2 linked regions of the Neodiprion lecontei genome follow. The protein of the gene in region 1 purifies or fractionates together with the protein of each later gene. This does not show direct contact. Links are inferred from orthologs where the notes say so. Each region holds a gene or a part of one and is shown on either strand. Other genes may lie near its edges. The genes, in order: metal-response element-binding transcription factor 2 and polycomb protein eed-B.

The links.
Region 2: the proteins of metal-response element-binding transcription factor 2 (region 1) and polycomb protein eed-B purify together in Homo sapiens (affinity purification with mass spectrometry; 3 studies listed by BioGRID and IntAct, with this or other methods). This does not show direct contact. The link is inferred for Neodiprion lecontei from reciprocal best matches to the Homo sapiens genes MTF2 and EED.

The regions. Positions count from the first base shown.
Region 1 is NC_060261.1:15,229,326-15,233,477, reverse strand, and holds the start of metal-response element-binding transcription factor 2, read left to right. Parts: upstream 1-1,529; 5' UTR 1,530-2,000; intron 2,001-4,065; exon of another isoform or gene 4,066-4,068; 5' UTR 4,069-4,079; coding exon 4,080-4,152. UniProt on the Homo sapiens protein: Polycomb group (PcG) protein that specifically binds histone H3 trimethylated at 'Lys-36' (H3K36me3) and recruits the PRC2 complex, thus enhancing PRC2 H3K27me3 methylation activity.
Region 2 is NC_060263.1:6,600,198-6,603,797, forward strand, and holds the start of polycomb protein eed-B, read left to right. Parts: upstream 1-1,081; 5' UTR 1,082-1,334; intron 1,335-1,447; 5' UTR 1,448-1,636; intron 1,637-1,768; 5' UTR 1,769-1,933; intron 1,934-2,041; 5' UTR 2,042-2,182; coding exon 2,183-2,195; intron 2,196-2,422; coding exon 2,423-3,600. UniProt on the Homo sapiens protein: Polycomb group (PcG) protein. Component of the PRC2/EED-EZH2 complex, which methylates 'Lys-9' and 'Lys-27' of histone H3, leading to transcriptional repression of the affected target gene.

The sequences.
Region 1 (4,152 bases):
AATTGGAAATTACAAATGAGGTTGAAAGACGTCACGTCATTGTAACGATGCAGTTTCAGAAAATCTCGAATTGTCTGAAATTCAGTAAATCATAATACACCGTTAACAATATTGCCATATACCCATATATCGCGAACTTAATTCCTTGAAAGTTACTCTGAAGTTGCAAAATAATAATCTTTCTTTCAACTTTTCATTGCTTTAACGTTACCTATACCTTCGACCTCGTTATTATATACGCTGCAAAATCCTTCATGTAGAAATGTGTATATGTATAAATAATGTATATATTTTATAAATAGCAGTGAACTTGGCGGATGCTCGTAACTGATTCATCGGCCGATACCTGATAGACATATTACGATTGTCACTAATAACGTTTTGAGACCATCGGTGTTGAGAGTCATTTCCTACGAATGCTTTTTATATCGTGTATATTATGAGATCAAAGCTTTGAAATATTTCCTCACGTATAATTTGTGTGTATGTTTGTCTGCACGAAAGGTGAGAAATATGAGACACCATTGATATGCTTAGTTTATTGTATAAAATAAAATTGTACAACACGTATCTATAGCCGTAACAGTGAATTCACCAATAAAATGTAATATTTATTTTCTACGTCAATTCCTCAATCTTCATTCCCTTCTCATGTGCATACAGCTATTGAATCTTCCTAATATTTTCCGTTTGTCAACTGTATTATCCTCCTCTTAATAAATTCCGTTCCATTGTTGTTATATATTCAAATTAACAATGCAGCGAAATTTTTCATCGCTGAGCAGAAGAAAGGAGAAGAATTAAGAATGGCGGAAGAAATCGGTGCAAAGATTTCAAAATGGCAAATCATTGAACGCAAACAATGCGTGAAAAGCGATTGAATCTCGGTGCATTATAATTTGCAAAAAAGATTACAGTTGTCGCGATACAGGAACGTGCGTCACGTAGTACACATAATGCACGTAATTCTTACGTCACATGTTGTGGCTTGGCGGTCCCGTGACAGCAGCGAACATCGCGTATACGTAGGCATATAAATATTGCATTGCAAGTGCCCCGATTATTATTTTCCCCCTATTGTTCCTTAGGTCAGACATGAACGGCCAGTTGCCGATAGACATAATGATGCTTGTAGAGTTCAGTGCGCGTGATCAATTCCCGACACGACTATAAAACCCGGGTGTCGGGTTATAGAATCAGGCGTGTGTGCAAGTGGGTATGAAGTTATTACGAATGCACCACCGGACCGCCGACGAAGTATGTGACGAAAATGACCGGCTTCTGGTCTTTCCCGATAGCGATGTAAATACAGCCGTAATGTTGTAGATCGGTCGAAGGGTGGTAGGGCACAATTTCGTTCGGCGGTGAGTCCGGATCAGCGGTTAATTTGTCACCCCCATCGACGAGTTTAAAGGACCTTTCAGAATGTAAACAAATTGGAAAGGCGGACAGCATTATGGCAGTGAGTGTACCGTCAGGCGGAAACTGGACTGCTTCACGGTTTGACGAACTAGCGTCGGATCGAAACGAAGTCTCGGTCACCGATCGGTCGGTTAAAAAATATCTCGAAACCGGCCCGGCCTTGTTCTTTAGTGCTCGAATTTTTTCAGTGCGATGCAAGGATTGTTTATGTTGGGTTATTCGGTCGCTGATTTGACCCGCGTAGCAGCCCAGCAAGTGTTTCCCCAAACATGGCGGACGGAATGTATTCGAATTTGTTACATCTAGAATGAAATTAGACCGAATAATCGGCACAAATGAATAGCTGTAAGTGCGGGAGGTAGCTCGAGTCGTACTTAATGGATGTAAGAAACGATCGGTACAACGACAGGTGATTCGAGTCTGTGGGGATTGTGCGGAGACTAAATGAAATAGGATTTTGCCGCGCGCGGCCGAGTCTGTCGGGGCAACCGTGGCGGGGCCCCCATGGTTGTAAATGGCTGACGAGATGGAAAATGAAGAATAACATTCGCCTCTGATATTCCGGCCTAGACGTCAAGGTACGACCCTCAGAATATCGCGCTGGTTATCGCGAAACTTTCAATTTTATGTCACAAGTACACCGCTCAAACTCACCCAGGCTTCTATCTTCTTTACTCTTTTTTACACGGGGTTGTTTCGTCCTACGATTATCTTATATGAAACGATTGATTCGGTCTGTGGGGGATGCACACCGACCTCCCATGCACCCCCTGGGCGTGTTTCCGACTTTATCCCCGTCCTCCGACGACTCGAATATCATTCAAAATCCCCGAGACTTCGATCAGATTTTCTCAAACCTTGCATGCATTGACCCACTGGCTGAAAGTCCTCCAGACATCCGACTGTTTTTATTTTATTTCGGTTCTGATTATGTCCTTCGTTCGTTTCATCCCTATTTCCTAAAATTCATTATTCTATTTCTTATCGAATCTTTTGGTCTTCCACTCGTACCGTTTTCCAACGAAAATATATTCCCCCCGCAGATTCTATCAACGCGCAGCCAAAATTTACCCTCAATCATCTTTTCATACATTTATTTCTTTTCACCTTTGTACTTACACATACTGTAATTGTTTTCAATAAAGATTTTACCATCTATAAAGATTCATTTCTGTACCCGCTCTTTTGTCTTCATGTTTTTTCAACCTTCACACATTTGACTCGATCATCGATATAACTGAACTGACACAACTGCCAGCGATGTCTCAATGTTATCCACATTCATCCACCACCTGCCGGTTTCGTCTCTCACATTCATTGGATTTAATTTCTATAAATGTTGCAACATACCTCTTACAGGAAATTGCTCTACATCATTGGATGTTCATTAAACTCACAAGACCAGATTTCTTACGCCAATATCATCGCGTCATTAGACTTGAATTCAATGTTTTCTAACTTAGTTTTATAGTAGCTTAACATGTCAGTATATCAAACACCTAATTTGCAGCATCTAGACGAATATACGTATACATATATGTATGTATGTATGTATGTGTGTATATATATATGCGTACATATATCTTTATGCTGATCCTTCTCTCTGCCACAGAAACATTTATTTTTCATTCAAGTCAAACATAAGTACATTTTTCATAATTATATGCATACTTGTGTGCGTCAATCCTTTATTTTGTAACAGGGAAAAACGTATCTCTGTAAATCCTGGAATTTAAAATGTCTCACTACCACTGATCATTCGGGTATGCTTATTGTAACTGCATGCGCCTATTTACCTTACTGATTGGGTATTCATAATATCTCGTTTGTGAGCAAAGTTCGTCTTGATACTAACTATTCTATGAACCTTGTAACCATGGTAAAATTTATGCATTCAAAGGCAACCGATGCAATCGCAAGAAAGTTTCTAATATTTTTCAATTAGCCGCTAAACTTTTCACATTATCTTTTATGCTAGGGCAACTGGTCATAAAAGACTGCATTGATCTATAAATTTTATCGTCAAAACATTTGAAGACAATCTTTTGTTTCGACTTGAATCATAACTTATCAATAGAAATTCATGCGTGATACAAGTGGGGTGTAAATTACATAATACAAATAGTAGCGAGTATTGATGTATCACTGAAAATGAATTATCACAGGGCGATAAATGAGAGGTTATTTCTTTTTCTTGGAACAGTGAACATGCATGTTTCTTACATTGTACTATGAGCCTGATGCAGAGTTATGATTGTGGCAACTCAGAAATCATAAGTTGAGATATCTGCATTTGTTACAAAGTTTTACATATCACCTAGTCGCTGAACACTCTGCATCATCGCAGTGCTAAAGCAATCAATTTACCAAAGAAAGAAAAATGAGAACAGTAGAATTCTCGAGAGATTATCTTCGAAAGGTTATCGCATAAGTTTCGGTAATACATCTGCGTTTAAGAATTAATGCGTTTACGACACTGTCCATTTTGGAAATTAGCCTTTGATGGTAAGTATGTTGCAAACCTGAAAAATTTGTATCACGATGCCCACTTGTCAGTTAAAACTTGAAAGATAGGGATCAACTCATGACGTTTTGTATATGTGGTATAAATTTGTGAGAGAAAAATTATTTCAACAATTTCAGCAGCCGGGTTGAAAATGTCGGAGCCAGAGGAGAGTCCGGCTGTGCCGGATAGTACAACTAAGGAGCAGCGTCTCGGTTTCTCTCATG
Region 2 (3,600 bases), on another chromosome or scaffold:
GTCGAATGGACGAGTGACAGAACTGGTAAATAATAATCTTTATTGAACATTATTTTATTCCCACCATCTCTGCAAGTATTTTCAAGACTGCAAGGAAAATTATGGAATAATGGTGAACGAAAAGCCACTGAGATTATAATTGGTATATTGAATATAGCTATCATAATAATAACTAAGATATTACATACTTTGAAATGGCAATTATTCCAGATATACTTCATTAATATTTTTTCACCAGGTCTACCCCTCACCTCATTACCATGGGCGCCAAGTGCACACCCTCAAGACGTAGAGAAAAAATTTACATATCTAAACGTTGAAGGACTTCGAGAAGATGCCGGCGATACAACAGGGACCTTCATCTGCGAAATTATTCTCGTGTAGAACAGTTCCTTCTTCTAAAATCATGTAATACTTTTCAGTGCCTATTATCAAACAAAAGTTGTAAAATATCACTTTTTGAAACAATGAAATTTTTATTTGTATAGTGTCGTGTATACAGTAGAACGTCGATTACTCAATTAATTGGAACTGGGTACCGTTTGGATAATCGTAAATTCGGATAACCAATCTGCACTATTCCTTGGGGGCAAGAAAAAACACTCGTTCAAAATTATAGAAATGTCTACACGATAGGTACCGTTCTGTATATTTTCAAGGTGCAGAGGAAGAGTGCAATATTCTCTTTTAGTATGTACAATCAAAATTTCTTTGTGTTCAGACTGGTCGTATTTTTTGTTTTCGACAAATTTATAACATACATATAAGGTATACGAAACTGTTGACAGAAGGCCAGAGAGAGATCTATTGTTGAAATTTATTACTGAGATACGCCGATTTCGCGGAAATTCATTCCCCGGGTTCCGAAGATAAGACTGATCGCATTTCGTTTGAATGCCTCGCTTGGCGATTCCATAAAATTCATTCCGTGTGGTGGAGATTGGTGTTATCGAACTAACCAACCACGTCCAAAGGTAAGGACTGACATGACTCCACCCGAGTTTCGTAGATGTCGCCAAAGGCTGTGACTTGTGAGCCTAACATAGTGTTTACCGTTATGCACTGCCATAGCATCACGTAGGCTTATGTTTATTGCTAATAGCTAAAGCAGTCGGTAGAGAAACAGAGCGAACCCGATCTCTGAAGGCGCAAAAGTGACGAAGTGCTCGTGATAGATTATAACTTATAGGTTAGATTTGTAATATGCAGGACGGATACGATACAACGGTCTATTTCATGGCAGTTGCCGGTGGCAAACGTCGGATGTTTGGTTTCTAATGGCGCAGGTCTTGCGTTATGGATTACGAAAAAATTTCGCGGTCATTTCGTTTTTGGTAAGGCTTTACGCTTTCGTTACTGGTTCTTTTTCTCACTTAAGAAAATTTTTTTAAATACTGACGCACCACAATCATCCCTAACGGAACAACGCACAACTTCAATCTCGCAGATCGTTTCCACCGCCGAATATTGCGAGAAAATATCTCAAGGATTGCTGAATAGTGCATCAGGGAAAAAACAACAAATTCTCATACATCGGTGCGAGTCTGTCGCCGAAGTTATTGCCACTCATAAAAATCTTCACGTCGATTTTATCGTATTTGCAATCGACTCTCGGCTAACGCTATCTTTGAAGGAGGTGGGTATTTAACGACAAAAATTATTTTTTCGTCGTGTATTAATGGTTTTAAGATAGAGAAAAAAACCTGCATCTGTTTTTCGTCATAATCGTAATTACCTATACTTTTTTTTTATTCTCCTATTCATTCAGGTTGAGAAGAATATTCTGCTAGTTGATCAGAGTTTTATATTGTTGAGTAGCACCTGTTTAGTAAATGGTAACAACATATCGTCAAATGCTATGGGTGTGACGCAAGATCAGATTTTGGAAGTTTGCGACAAGTACAATCTTCGGCTTCTCAATTCAAATATTAATGTGAGTTTACGCATTTCAAAATGTCTAAATACTACGCAATGTCGATTTGTCAAATAAAATTAGAAATATTTTAAGAAGGTGAAAAACTGAATACAAATTTTCATTTAGGTACCGGAGGACTGTCTCTATTTAGGTGATCAAATTATCAATTTATCTTGCACAGTTCTCGGTCAGAGAAGCGGATTGCCATTGTTAAACATCCGTGATCAACATACAGCAATGTACATTGTCGATGATTCTGTGGCATAAATGTGCAGTTCAAGTGAGTCACATGTACAAAGTGAAATAATTATTCAAACAAGCTACAAAAAATAATTCCATGAAATTTATCACCACAAAAAACTTCCCAAGACTGGATAAATAATATTTGAATACCATTTTATGTTTCTTACTAAATACTAAAACAGCAAATTGAAACTTTTTGAACTCCTCAATGAGTATCTACCAATTAGTCCGATGTTTGTAATTATTGGATATGTGTACTTTCAGATTATCAACAGACGGAAGATATAATGAAGAAAGCTGGTGCGAAACCTCAGTGCCAGACTTATACTTCGAGTCAAGAAGACACTGACAATGATAGTGACGAAACCGAGTGTAGTATTGGCAGCAATTCGACTGCAGGTACACATCGAAGCGATACTCCGACTCGCAGTGCTCGTTATAAGAAGAAGGGAAGACGGCGAAGTAAAACGGCAAAGAACAAGTCTCTGAATGACAAACCAATGTATAAATACTGTTGTAGTGTCAAGGAAGACCACGGGCAGCCTTTGTTTGGCGCTCAGTTCAATCACCATCTCAAAGAAGGTGAACCAATGATATTTGCATCAGTAGGAAGTAACAGAGTCAGCATTTACGAATGCCCCGAGGGAAACAATATCAGGCTTCGACAATGTTACGCTGATCCTGACAGTGAAGAAAATTTCTACACATGTGTATGGACATACGATGATTCAGGAAAACCATTATTAGCCGTTGCAGGCTCTCGAGGAGTAATTAGAGTAATTAGTACTGTCACTATGACGTGCATTAAGCATTACATTGGTCACGGTCACGCAATTAATGAGCTGAAAATTCATCCGAAGGACCCAAATATCCTTCTTTCAGCTTCGAAGGATCACGCTCTACGTTTATGGAATATTAAGACTGATGTTTGCATAGCAATATTTGGAGGTGTCGAAGGTCACAGGGACGAAGTCTTGAGCGCGGACTTTGATATGATGGGACAACGGATAATATCTTGCGGAATGGATCACGCATTGAAACTTTGGTCCCTCGATAAAGGGGAAATGCTGGATGCTATCAAGCAGTCGTATTACTGCAATCCGACCCGCAACGGGAGACCTTTTGACTCGATTCTGCAACATTTTCCCGACTTTACAACAAGAGATGTGCATCGCAATTATGTGGACTGCGTTAAATGGTACGGAGATTTCATACTTAGTAAATCTTGCGAAAATTGTATCGTATGCTGGAAACCTGGACGTTTAGAAGATACCCAACTTCGTAACGGCGAAACAAGCGCCACTGTACTGCATCGCTTTGAATTCAAGGAATGCGATATATGGTTTATACGATTCTCCATGGATTTCTGGCAAAGGACAATAGCACTTGGTAACCAAGCTGGTCGTACCTATGTGTGGGATCTGGAGGTTGAAGAACCAGGC